Macaca mulatta: one gene and its partner. The protein of the gene in region 2 interacts with the protein of the main gene of each other region in a pairwise test. Links are inferred from orthologs where the notes say so. Each region holds a gene or a part of one and is shown on either strand. Other genes may lie near its edges.

What was found. The genes of interacting proteins can lie anywhere in the genome.
Region 1: the proteins of GRB7 (region 2) and LAX1 interact in binary tests that used the Homo sapiens proteins (3 or more experiments, as listed by UniProt). The two-hybrid records come from large-scale screens. The link is inferred for Macaca mulatta from reciprocal best matches to the Homo sapiens genes GRB7 and LAX1.

What each region holds. Positions count from the first base shown.
Region 1 is NC_133406.1:61,503,626-61,509,215, reverse strand, and holds the start of LAX1 (lymphocyte transmembrane adapter 1), read right to left. Parts: upstream 3,532-5,590; 5' UTR 3,015-3,531; coding exon 2,857-3,014; intron 2,636-2,856; coding exon 2,526-2,635; intron 2,066-2,525; coding exon 1,955-2,065; intron 1,037-1,954; coding exon 957-1,036; intron 1-956. UniProt on the Homo sapiens protein: Negatively regulates TCR (T-cell antigen receptor)-mediated signaling in T-cells and BCR (B-cell antigen receptor)-mediated signaling in B-cells.
Region 2 is NC_133421.1:64,090,437-64,096,055, reverse strand, and holds the start of GRB7 (growth factor receptor-bound protein 7), read right to left. Parts: upstream 3,951-5,619; 5' UTR 3,520-3,950; intron 3,302-3,519; exon of another isoform or gene 3,261-3,301; intron 3,082-3,260; exon of another isoform or gene 2,731-3,081; intron 142-2,730; exon of another isoform or gene 1-141. UniProt on the Homo sapiens protein: Adapter protein that interacts with the cytoplasmic domain of numerous receptor kinases and modulates down-stream signaling. Promotes activation of down-stream protein kinases, including STAT3, AKT1, MAPK1 and/or MAPK3. Promotes activation of HRAS.

The DNA of each region.
Region 1 (5,590 bases), on a different chromosome or scaffold from region 2:
TCGTAAGTGTGTTTTGAGCACCAATGGCATTGTTGGAATATTTGCATACCCTCCTGAGATGATTACTTTGAAGGGAGCGACATTCATTTGAATAAGCATGTTGTCATGTCTTTGTTAAAATAATCAATTGGCAGGGCATGGTGGCTCACACCTGTAATCTCAGCACTTTGGGAGGCCAAGGTGGGCAGATTGCTTGAACTCAGGTGTTTGAGACCAGCCTGGGCAATATGGTGAAACCCCATCTCTACACAAAATACGAAAGCTGGCCAGGCGTCGTGGTGTGTGCCTGTGGTCCCAGCTACTTGGGGGACTGGAGTAGGAGGATCGCTTGAGCCCAGGAAGCAGAGGTTGGAGTGAGGGAAAAAAAAAAAAAATGGCTGGGCACAGTGACTCATGCCTGTAATCCCAGCACTTTGGGAAGCCAACGTGGGCAGATCACAAGGTCAAGAGATCGAGACCATCCTGGCCAACATAGTGAAAACCTATCTCTACTAAAAATACAGAAATCAGCTGGACGTGGTGGCACATGCCTATAATCCCAGCTACTTGGGAGGCTGAGGCAGGAGAACCGCTTGAACCTGGGAAGCAGAAGTTGCAGTGAGCCAAGATCACACCACTGCACTCCAGCCTGGGTGGGAGAGCAAGACTCCATCTAAAAAAAAAAAAAAACTACATCTATACATACCAATCAATTTCAGTTCTGACATTGTGCACTTGAATATCTGTACCCTGGTGCCCTTTTTAAAATTCCAAGCACTTGCCTCTGTCCTTAATTTTTCTTTTTGGGTCTAGGGAGGTCCTGAGGCTAGTCTTCCCAATTTATTAATAGGACCGCAGGGCGAGCGCCAAAGGACATGCTGTTTGTTTGCAGTGAGACCAGATCCAAGCCCTATAACTCTTTCCCCTCAGTTCTTCTGCCAGAGACATGTCATTCTCCCGAGAAGCATGACTCTTACCACATGCTCAGGGCTCTCAGAATTTCTGGAGAGGAGGCTCTCAGTACTGAAAATGCGCATACTCCTTGACTCATGTCTCCCTGAAAGGACAGAGAACAAATTCTGAAGATAGCCAGTCCTCTGAGTGCTTCAGCCCAAATAATCCCTGCATCATGGATGAACTGGGTTTGTATGGTGTCTGGAATTTCCAGCCTTGGGTCCTGTGTTCTCCTGTGTTCTGAGGTCAGAGCTATGGGGATGACACTCTGAGAACCGGAAGCCCCTCAGCTTCTGTGGCATTGGCGGATGCTATCACGGGGATTGGGAGGCTGAGAAACACGGTCCTGTGGGAGAACCTCCTCCCCGCCCCTCCTCTGCCTGTGATGCTGGCACTGAGTTCTCCTCCTTTGTGTCTCCCCATGCCTGGACACACGTGGCTTTCTTCTGTTGCCTTAATATTAAGAAAAAACAAAACTCGGCCGGGCACGGTGGCTCAAGCCTGTAATCCCAGCACTTTGGGAGGCCGAGACGGGCGGATCATGAGGTCAGGAGATCGAGACCATCCTGGCTAACACGGTGAAACCCCGTCTCTACTAAAAATACAAAAAAAAAATAAGCCGGGCGAGGTGGCGGGCGCCTGTAGTCCCAGCTGCTCGGGAGGCTGAGGCAGGAGAATTGCGCGAACCCGGGAGGCGGAGCTTGCAGTGAGCCGAGATCTGGCCACTGCACTCCAGCCTGGGCGACAGAGCCAGACTCCGTCTCAAAAAAAAAAAAAAAAAAAGAAAAAAAAAAGAAAAAACAAAACTCCCAGCCCAGATGACCCTCTGCTCCCTCTTTGGAGCCCTCCAGGTTCCCCCGGAGTTGCAGCTGACGGTCTGTCTATCCCATTCTCCCTGATACTCTCTGAAGGGCAAACAGGTTTGAGAACTTAGAGAAAGTTGCTTCTGGAGGGTGAGAGGCACATTCTGGGAGTGGAAGTTTGAACATCTGGACTCCATAGATTAGAAGGAAAAACCTACCCAGGTCTTCCTGTCGCCAAGGCAAGATGTCATAAATATTTTTGGCTCTTTGTCTGTTTTGTGGCAGAGTCAGCAAGGGCATGACGGTAACTCGGAGGTAAGGAACTTGCCCTGCAAGGCAATGAGAGAGATGGGAGTCAAGGCAGGGGTCAGCTACACAGAGTGAAGGAACTCATGGGAATGAGATGGCCCCTGGAAATGCTCCCCATCCTTGCCAGTTCTCACAAAAATACACTTTCAGATTTGAGTTTTCATTTGAGTGAGAGGAATAGGGGATTCCTATTTGAATTTTCATTTGAGTGAGAGGAATAGGGGACTTGATGGACAGAAAGTAAAGAAGAAACTGGACACAGGGGCACCAGGGCAATGATTTTCCCAGGGGAACTCCATCAGCACTGGGCCTTTGGAGCCACAGTTCAGGATCTTGAGTGAGGCAATGACCAGTGTATCAGGTAAGAACTGAGGACTCTCCAGGCCAATAGTTTATCCCTGGTAAATAAGCTGGGCTTTACATTCCAGGCTAGATTATTAATCCTACTATGTCTAAACTCAGGACAAACAAGGGACTCACGCTTCTTCCGTTTATTCCAGTTCCACAGGATGCAGAAAACTGCAACGACCAGGAGGATGGCAAGGAGTCCCGCGAACCCAGAAAAGATGTTGCTGATCTGGTCTTTATTTCTAGAAAAACAATCAAATGCCATGTGCTAGCTGTAGGAGGGTGGGGAGGCTGGAGGAGACATTTCCTTCAGGAGTTAGAGCCTGAAGATTTGGAATTGGAGCCGAGTGAAAGAAAGCCCAGGTGGGGGGCGGTGGAAGAGAGGGTTATCTCTGAATATTGACTTTATGAAGAGAGGGAACTTGGACAGGGGAGAAGGGAACTGTTCTTTTCAAATGCCTACCGGGTGCCAGGGGTTCGCATGTGAAATTTAACCTCCTTTCTTCCTTTCTTCCTTCCTTCCTTCCTTTCTTCCTTTCTTCCTTTCTTCCTTTCTTCTTTTCTTCCTTCCTTCCTTCCTTCCTTCCTTCCTTCCTTCCTTCCTTCCTTCCTTCCTTCCATCCATCCTTTCTTTCTTCCTTTCTTCCTTTCTTCGTTTCTTTCTTTCTTTTATTTTTTATTTTAGGTGGAGTCTTTCTCTGTCGCTCAGGCTGGAGTGCAGTGGCATGATCTCAGCTCACTGCAACCTCCGCCTCCTGGGTTCAAGTGATTTTCCTGCCTCAGCCTCCAGAGTAGCTGGGATTACAGGCACGTGCCATGACGCCCAGCTAATTTTTGTCTTTTTAGTAGAGATGGGGTTTCACCACACTGGCCAGGATGGTCCCTGTCGCTTGACCTTGTGATCCGCCTGCCTTGGCCTCCCAAAGTGCTGGGATTACAGGCATGAGCCACCACGCCCGGCCCTTGAAACTTATTTAATCTTTACAACAATCCTATCTCACTTTGTGTCCAAGTAACCTGAGCTTTAGATTCAGAAAGGTAAAGTAACAAGTCAGAGATCACCTAGGTAGGAAGGAGCAGAGAAGAAATGTGAATCTAGGTCTGTTTGCGTCCAAAGACTGTGCTCTTTCCACTCTGCCACACTGTCCTCCAAACCTGCAAAGTCAGTCATTTGGCCTTGCCCTTTCTCATCCCCTACTCGTGGCCTTCCTGGCTTGCTTGGAGGAGAGGATTAGCCAATTTACAATTAGGGAGTGGCTCTGTGACAGAGTCCATCTTGCATGAACTTGAATAACCCCCGGCACCAATTTGTGGAGCTGGTCTCCAAGCAACACGCTGTTGTGTGGAGTTTAACCAATTCACGTTCTGTGCTACCTTGCAATTCCCTGGCAGGGCTGGCGTCACTGCTCAGTTTTGCTTGGGTGTTGAAATGCGTCCAGATGATTACAACTCCAGATGGCTATGCCTAATGCAATAGAAAGCTGCCAACTGAAGTTACAGCAGGACTCAGGAACTGACGTGCTACCCCCAATTATTAGAAACCAGGGCATTTAACAGGGAAGGTTTTTGTCCCCTTGAGTTTTAGGGTTATTTATACAACTTTCTTTCTTTCTTTCTTTCTTTCTTTCTTTCTTTCTTTCTTTCTTTCTTTCTTTCTTTCTTTCTTTCAGACAGAGTCTCGCTCTGTTGCTCAGGCTGGAGTGCAGTGGCATGATCTCGGCTCACTGCAACCTCTGCCTCCCAGGTTCAAGCGATTCTCCTGCCTCCGTCTCCTGAGTAGCCAGGACTATAGACACCCGCCACCACGCCAGGCTAATTTTTTTTTTTTTTTTTTGTATTTTTAGTAGAGATAGGATTTCACCATGTTAGCCAGGCTGGTCTTGAACTCCTGACATCAAATGATCTGCCCGCCTCAGGCTCCCAAAGTGCTGGGTACAGGCGTGAGCCACCGCACCCAGCCTATTCAAGTTTCTAGTGGGCATTTCTAACTAGCTGCCTAACAGACATCTCAAACCAAAACATCTCCCCACATAAACCTGCTACTCCCCACGTGTTTCCCATCATCTAGTGACTTAGTCAAAAACCTTGGAGCCATTCTTGACTTGGAGCTCTTTTTCTTTCATGCCCCACTTCCAGTCAACCAATAGATTCTGTCTGCATTACCCTGGGCATTTACCCCAAACCCAACCACCTCTTGCTCCTCTGTTGCCACCACTTGGGTCTAAGCCACTGTGTTTCACAGGAATCTTTGTAATAACGTTCCTGATTGGTTTCCTTGCTTTAACTCTTGGCCCCAACATACTATCTTCACGCAAAAACCAGTGTGATAATTCTAAACAGTAAGTCAGATCACATCCCTCCACTGCTCGTCACTCTCCGTGGCTTCGAGTAACTTAGAATAAAGTCTATAGTCCTTCCTCAGTGACGACTTTATGGCACAATATGATCTGGCCTCTGCCTACCTCTGACCTTATTTCCTACCACGTTCCCTCTGACTTTGACTACCAGGATCCCTTGCCCACGCAAAGCACAGTTCTGTGTCAGACCTGCCACTCCCTCTCCCAGGAACCCTCCTCTCCCAGCTGTCTGCATGACTGAGTCCCTCTCATTCAGGTCTCTTCTGAAATGTCAAATGTCATCTCCTCAGACAGGTCTTCCATGGCCACACCCTATTACTTGCAGTCCCCTGTGCTCCATTTTTTCTTCATATCACTGATGACTGATTGATGTATCTTTTTTTTGAGATGGAATTTCGCTTTTGTTTCCCAGACTGGAGTGCAGTGGCACAATCTCGGCTCACCGCAACCTTCCCCTCCCGGGTTCAAGCAATTCTTCTGCCTCAGCCTCCCGAGCAGCTGGGACTACAGGTGTGCATCACCACGCCTGGCTACTTTTTGTATTTTTAGTAGAGATGGGGTTTCATCATATTGGTCAGGCTGGTCTCGAACTCCTGACCTCAGGTGATCTGCCTGCCTCGGCCTCCCAAAGTGCTGGGATTACAGGCATGAGCCACCACGCCTAGCCTGATTGATTGATACTATACATTCATATGCTTACCTGTTTATCATTTTTTTATTTAAAAAAAAACAAAAAAACCAAACAACAACAACAACAACATTGAGACAGGGTCTCCATGTGTTGCCCAGGCTGGGTTTTGAACTCCTGGGCTCAACTGATCCTCCTGCCTTGGCCTACCA
Region 2 (5,619 bases):
ACCCACCACAAGCCTGGTGGTCACAACAGATTTCACAACCCACACACTCTCAGGCTCAGCCCTCAGGGTCAGGGCAAAGGTCCACTCCTTTGCCTCCACGCGTGGGGCACTCACTGCTCCAGGCACTGCCCGGGTTTTTCCAGCACTGTGTTGCCAGACCCAGTTGCCAGAGCCTGTTCGTACTTGGTGAAATTTGGCCTGCCCAAGTGATGAGTGATGCAGGGGGGAGAAGGAGGTGGGGAAGGATGGGAGCCCGAAAGTCAGGAGAGCCGGCTCCGCTTCAGTGCAAGGGGGAGAGCAGACCTGGGGTAGGTGTCCTGGCCACAGCAGCCCCTAAACCTTGCGTACCCTCCCCAGGCCATCCTCCTGCCCAACTCTTTCCTGAGGCTCCAATGCTAGAGCCACTTCCTCTGAGAAGCCTTCCTGGCTTTCCACATTCTGAGTGAACGACTCCCTCTCAGCACTGTGCAGGGGCTACATCATCCATTACTGCGCACCTGTCCTATCCACTCATTTGTCCAAGGGCACCCGGTACCCCCAGGCAAGGCCAATCTCACCCATGTCTTATCACTTACAGGGGCTGCACAGACACTCAGGACAAGTAAAGACAGGAGGGCCGGCAAAGGCGAGCACTAGAGGTGGAGGTGGGGCTGGCCCCTCCTCCTCAGGAACCAGGCAGACCCCTTTGGCTGGACTGAGACCTGGGAGAACCTGCAATCCCAGCCCCTAGCCTGTTCTCCGAACACTGGGCCAGTACTATGAGGCCACCTGGGGCACCTGGGATTGACCCCTCAGGAGGGCGCAGGCACCTGACCCCTCAGTGAGGGCATCAGGGGATTTGGGGGACAGGTGAGTCAGGGCAGGCGGGACAACACTGCCTAGGGCTCTCCATTCAACCTTGACTCATCCACACAACTTCCTGGCTTAGGAGAAACAAAAACAGCCCTGCCTCTACCCTCCCCCCAACTCCCCAACCCAATGGTAGCCACAGCCGAATGGGGGAGGCATGGGGCTGGGAACAGGATGGGGGAGGAACATGTGGGGCCTGAGGCTCCTCTGACATCACCTCCTCCTCCCCACCCTCGGCCTTGCTCCAGGCCAGGTGGGACCTGTGATCTGCTCTCACCCCCAGTGCCAAACCACCGCCTTGCCAGGGAGTCCCTCACCTGGGAAAGAGAGAGGCAATGCCCGGCCTGGATTCAGAGGCCCATTTGGAGAGAAGCCAGTGTCCCAGCGGTGCCCCTCCCCACCCAAAGCATCGCTCAGAGCCCCCGCCCCGTGTGGATGAGGTTCCTCCCGACACATTCTCCTGGGTGTCCTGGCCAGAGGGGTACCACAGGAGCAGGAGCAGAAAGGGAAAACACTCAAAAAGACAGACAGGATGAAGGGCCAGGGAGGGGGCCCAGGGTCTGGCCAGGAGGGGCAAGATATACCCGCCACCCGCTAGCAAGAGACACCAGCACCTCAATATCAGAACACGATCCCCCACTCCCACCCCAGTCTACCCTCCAAACAGCCCCGGTCTCCAAACAGCCCTGGTGACTTCATTCCAGGTTGCAGGGGGCCAACAGTGGGATGGGGAGAGGAGCAGAGAATTCAGGAGGGCAGCGATTGGAAGGGGTTAGAAGTGGATTTGAATCACATTACAGCCTGGCCTCAGAGATCAGAGAGGGCCAGCCTAAGGCTGGGGTTTGCCTTCAGATCCCCCCACCCGGGCCCTTCAGCCCCTTCTAAGGCTGGAGGCGGGTGGAATCCTCAAGACCAAAGAGGCGAGCAGGGAGGGGAAGGGCTCCTGGCTGTAGGCCTGGCAGCTTAGAGATCTGGAGTTTTGAAACTGAGGCACCGGGAAAGTTTCGGTTGGAAAAACCGACCCCCAAAATCAGTTTGTCCCCTCAACGAGGTAACTCCGGCGGTGTCTTCCCAGCTGCCTCCTCCCCCAGTGGCTCCAGCCCCACCCGCGTTCCCGTCCTCCCAACCTCCTTGTTTACTTCCTGAATCACGCCCCACCTGGCTGGCCCTAAGGGCGGGTGGCGGGGCCCGGTGTTCAGGGCCAACAGAAAACAACTCTACTTCCCAGAGTAGGGGGAAGGGCTTGCGGGACTGAGGCCTGGGCCAGGGGCCTGGATGTGGCGGGAGCGTCCCTGTCCGCCCAGTACTCCACGCCCCGCCCCCACGGGACAGGCTTATAACCTTTTAGGGTGCAGGGCCCAGGTGAGAAGGTGAGAAACCCCTGGATGACTCCTAGTAGAAGGGAGGACCCAGGACTCTGAGGCCCCGCCCACTCTCACTCAGGAAAAATACCCAATGAGAGAAGGCGGGGCAGCTCTTTTAAAGTTTAATTCGGGAAGAATGCTGGAGTGTCTGTGCGGTTAATCATTACAGGCTGCCTGCTTCCATGAGGTCCCCCCACCCCGCACACAGCAGGATATCAGGAGAGAGCAGAGTCCAAGACCGGCGGACCAAAAGGGAGCATTCCTGGTGGGCAGTGAGGCTGGAGCGGGGCGGCGAGGGGGGGTTCCACCTTGCCGGCAGGTGCATTCTCTGTCCTCAATCTGCCAGGGAGACCCAGACCGGGTACCTGGGTCTCTCCTTAGCCTCATCAAGCAGAGGAAACCATCTGCCATCCCCTACCCCACTCTCCCCAGGCCCCACCGCACTGCAGAGCCCCTCACCCACCCCTCTAGCCTTCCTGGCCACTTCATGCTGAAGCCAGGAGGGACCCCGGCTCACCCGGCCTCCACTTTCCCACCCGAGGGCCGGAGGCGATGTTGCTGAGCAGGGCATACAGTCTGGAGAGATGGAGCCTCAACAATTTAGAGGATCCCTCTCCTTCACCGTCCTCCAAAGTGGAGGGGGCCCTCCCCACATCTCCCCGCAGCCCGCGGAGACGTCTGTCTTAGAGACTTGGGGAAACCCAAACTGGGGTAAACTGGGCGAGCCAGGGAGTGAGGGCGGCTCTCCCAGGGTGTGCGGGGAGGGGCCAGTTTCAGCGGGAAAGCCAAGTCGGAGGAGAGAATCAGGTCTTCCTTCCCATTCTCGCTGCTGGCTTCGGGGAGGTGTACCGGGAGGGAACAAGGAGGGCTGGAAACCAGGATGGGGACGAAAGAGGGCGGGTGGGGAGGAGGGGGCGGGGTGGGAGATGGGAGGAAAAGAGAAAAGTGGGAGGCCGAGCAACCCAGCAGGAGACCCAGCCTTTCCCTACCGGCCCCCAGACCGGCCGTGCCTGCCCCCAAAGGATGAATGCCCGCTTGGGTTCTTACCTGAACCCCGAACATCAGGACACCCGGCTGGGACCACGTCTTCAGGGAGGGAGACGCCAGGCCCTTAAGTACCTGTCCCCCTCCAGCCCCCGCCCCGGGCCTGACATCACCGAGCGGGGGAGGGGGAGAGCCAGGTGGCTCCAATCCGCCCACCTGGGCCGACGGCCAGTTCGGCCGGAGACGGGCACAGCCTGGGGCCCTGGTGCGGCTGGGGGTTGCCTGGCAGGCTGTTGTCTGAGACCGATCTCTGTCCCCTTACCTGGAGGAGCCCCAGCAGGAGTAGCAGGACACCCGTTCCGAAGTCTGGCTCCGTCTAGGAAACCCCAGATTCCTGGATTTTATTTCAGATCCACTCCCGCTTCTCTACAGGTGGTAGGAGGGTGTCCCGACTTCGGACAGAGAAGTCAGGGCCGGGGGAGCCCTGTGTGTCCAGATTCCAGGCCCAAGGAAACTAAAATTATCTTGGGCAGATGGGGGCGTGTCCAGGGGAGGCGCCTGGGAGGAGGAAGCCTGGGAGGAGGGTGGGGACTCCCTGACACTCTACGCCAACTGGGATTGTTTTTGCCCTTCCTAGCCTGGCAGCAGGTGCCAAGAGAGGGTGCAGGTGCCTAGGAAGAGGCGGGGAAGACAGCCGAACAGACAGCACCAACAGCGAAGATCAAGAGTCCCGACCACCTGGGAGGGCGGGGGGAGGGTCTGAGGGCTGCAAGGTAAAGGGAACCACCGGTCCACTCCTCCCAAACATCCTCCCTGAACCTGGTCTGTTCATTGGCCAAGCCAGGGGGCACTTCTGCAGCTCTGGATCCCACCCCATGGGGCAAAGAGCACCCTGCCAAGGAGGGACGCCAGCCACGGGGGTGTCCAGCAACATGGCCTGCCCGTCGATCTGCAGGCACCCATACCATGGTGGCTGTGCCCTGGCCCCTCAGAGGCACCCAGGGTAAGCCCCTCTCCCGCCCCCCACCTTCTGAGCAAAGTCCAGAGTCTTGGCTTCCCCTTTAAAATCGAGGGGCTTAGGCTGGGTGGCACAGTGGGAGAAGCCATGGTGACCCAGAGAAAGCTCTGGCCTGGGCCCCTGGAGATTCCTCTTAGAGGGATCACTTTATTTTTTTGAGACAGAGTCCTGCTCTGTCACCCAAGCTGGAGTGCAGTGGCGCCATCTCGGCTTACTGCAAACTCCGCCTCCTGGGTTCAAAAGATTCTCCTGCCTCGGCCTCCCGAGTAGCTGGGATTACAGGCCACACACCCAGCTAATTTTTGTATTTTTAGTAAATCGGGGTTTCTCCACGTTGGCCACGTTGGTCTCGAACTCCTGACCTCGTGTAATCTGCCCACCTCGGCCTCCCAAAGTGTTAGGATTACAGGTGTGTGCCACCGCACCCGGCCTGAGGGATCGATTTAGTTCTCTCAGGGATCACTTTAGCTCTCTAGTTCAGCACTGGGCAAACAGGGTACTTGGGAGAAGGGTTGGGAGGCAGAAATCAAAGGCTGTGGCCACCACCCAGCTTGATGCGGGTGACAGGAAAACAAACAATCCTTAGGGTGATAAGAGGTCCACCATGGGGGGGGCACAGAGGAGTGACTCCTGCCTCAATTTTCTCCAGAGTTTTCCTAGGAAAACCGGTATGAATGTGCCCAGCAAAGAAGTGGGGGAGGAGGCAAGGTCTCTTGGGTGATGGAGCAGCTTGTGCAAAGGCAGAGTAGACAATTCACTCATTAATTTATTCAACTCTCTGTTCAGTACCTACCATATGCCAGCCCCATGTTTGGTGCTGGGCATACTGGGGTAAGCAACAAAAACAGACCCCGCCCTATCCTCACACAGCCAATCAGGAAGATTGATGTTAATCAAAGAATCACACAAATAAGAAATGACAGGAGACAACTATGCTGGGAGAATGACTCACATAGGGAGTCAGGAAAGACTTCTCTGTGGAGGTGACAGCTGAGCAGAGGAGAAGGTGGCTGACATGGGAAGGGGGTTGGAATCAGTGGATGGGAACTGGGGAAGGAGGCCACCTTCCCAAGTGAGGAAACCACTGCCAGAGCTCTGGAGAGGAGGGGATGCAGCATGCGGAGACAGAGAGTGGGGTTGGAGGAGAAAGGAGGAAGCAGAGGCCACGTGGGTGAACCTGGACAGGTGTGGAAGGTGTGGAGAGAGGCCGCTATGCTTCTGCAAATGTGGCCTCCAGACCTCCCTAACCTTGTGTGGAAAACAGATCCTTGGGATCCTCTCCAGCAATTGAATCTCAGTCTGTGGGGCTAAGACACAGGAAGGTGTGGTATTGACAAGCCCTCAGGTGGCTGTTCCGCAAGCCAGGTTTGAGAGCCATCCATCCTGTTTGTCCAGATGGGCAGG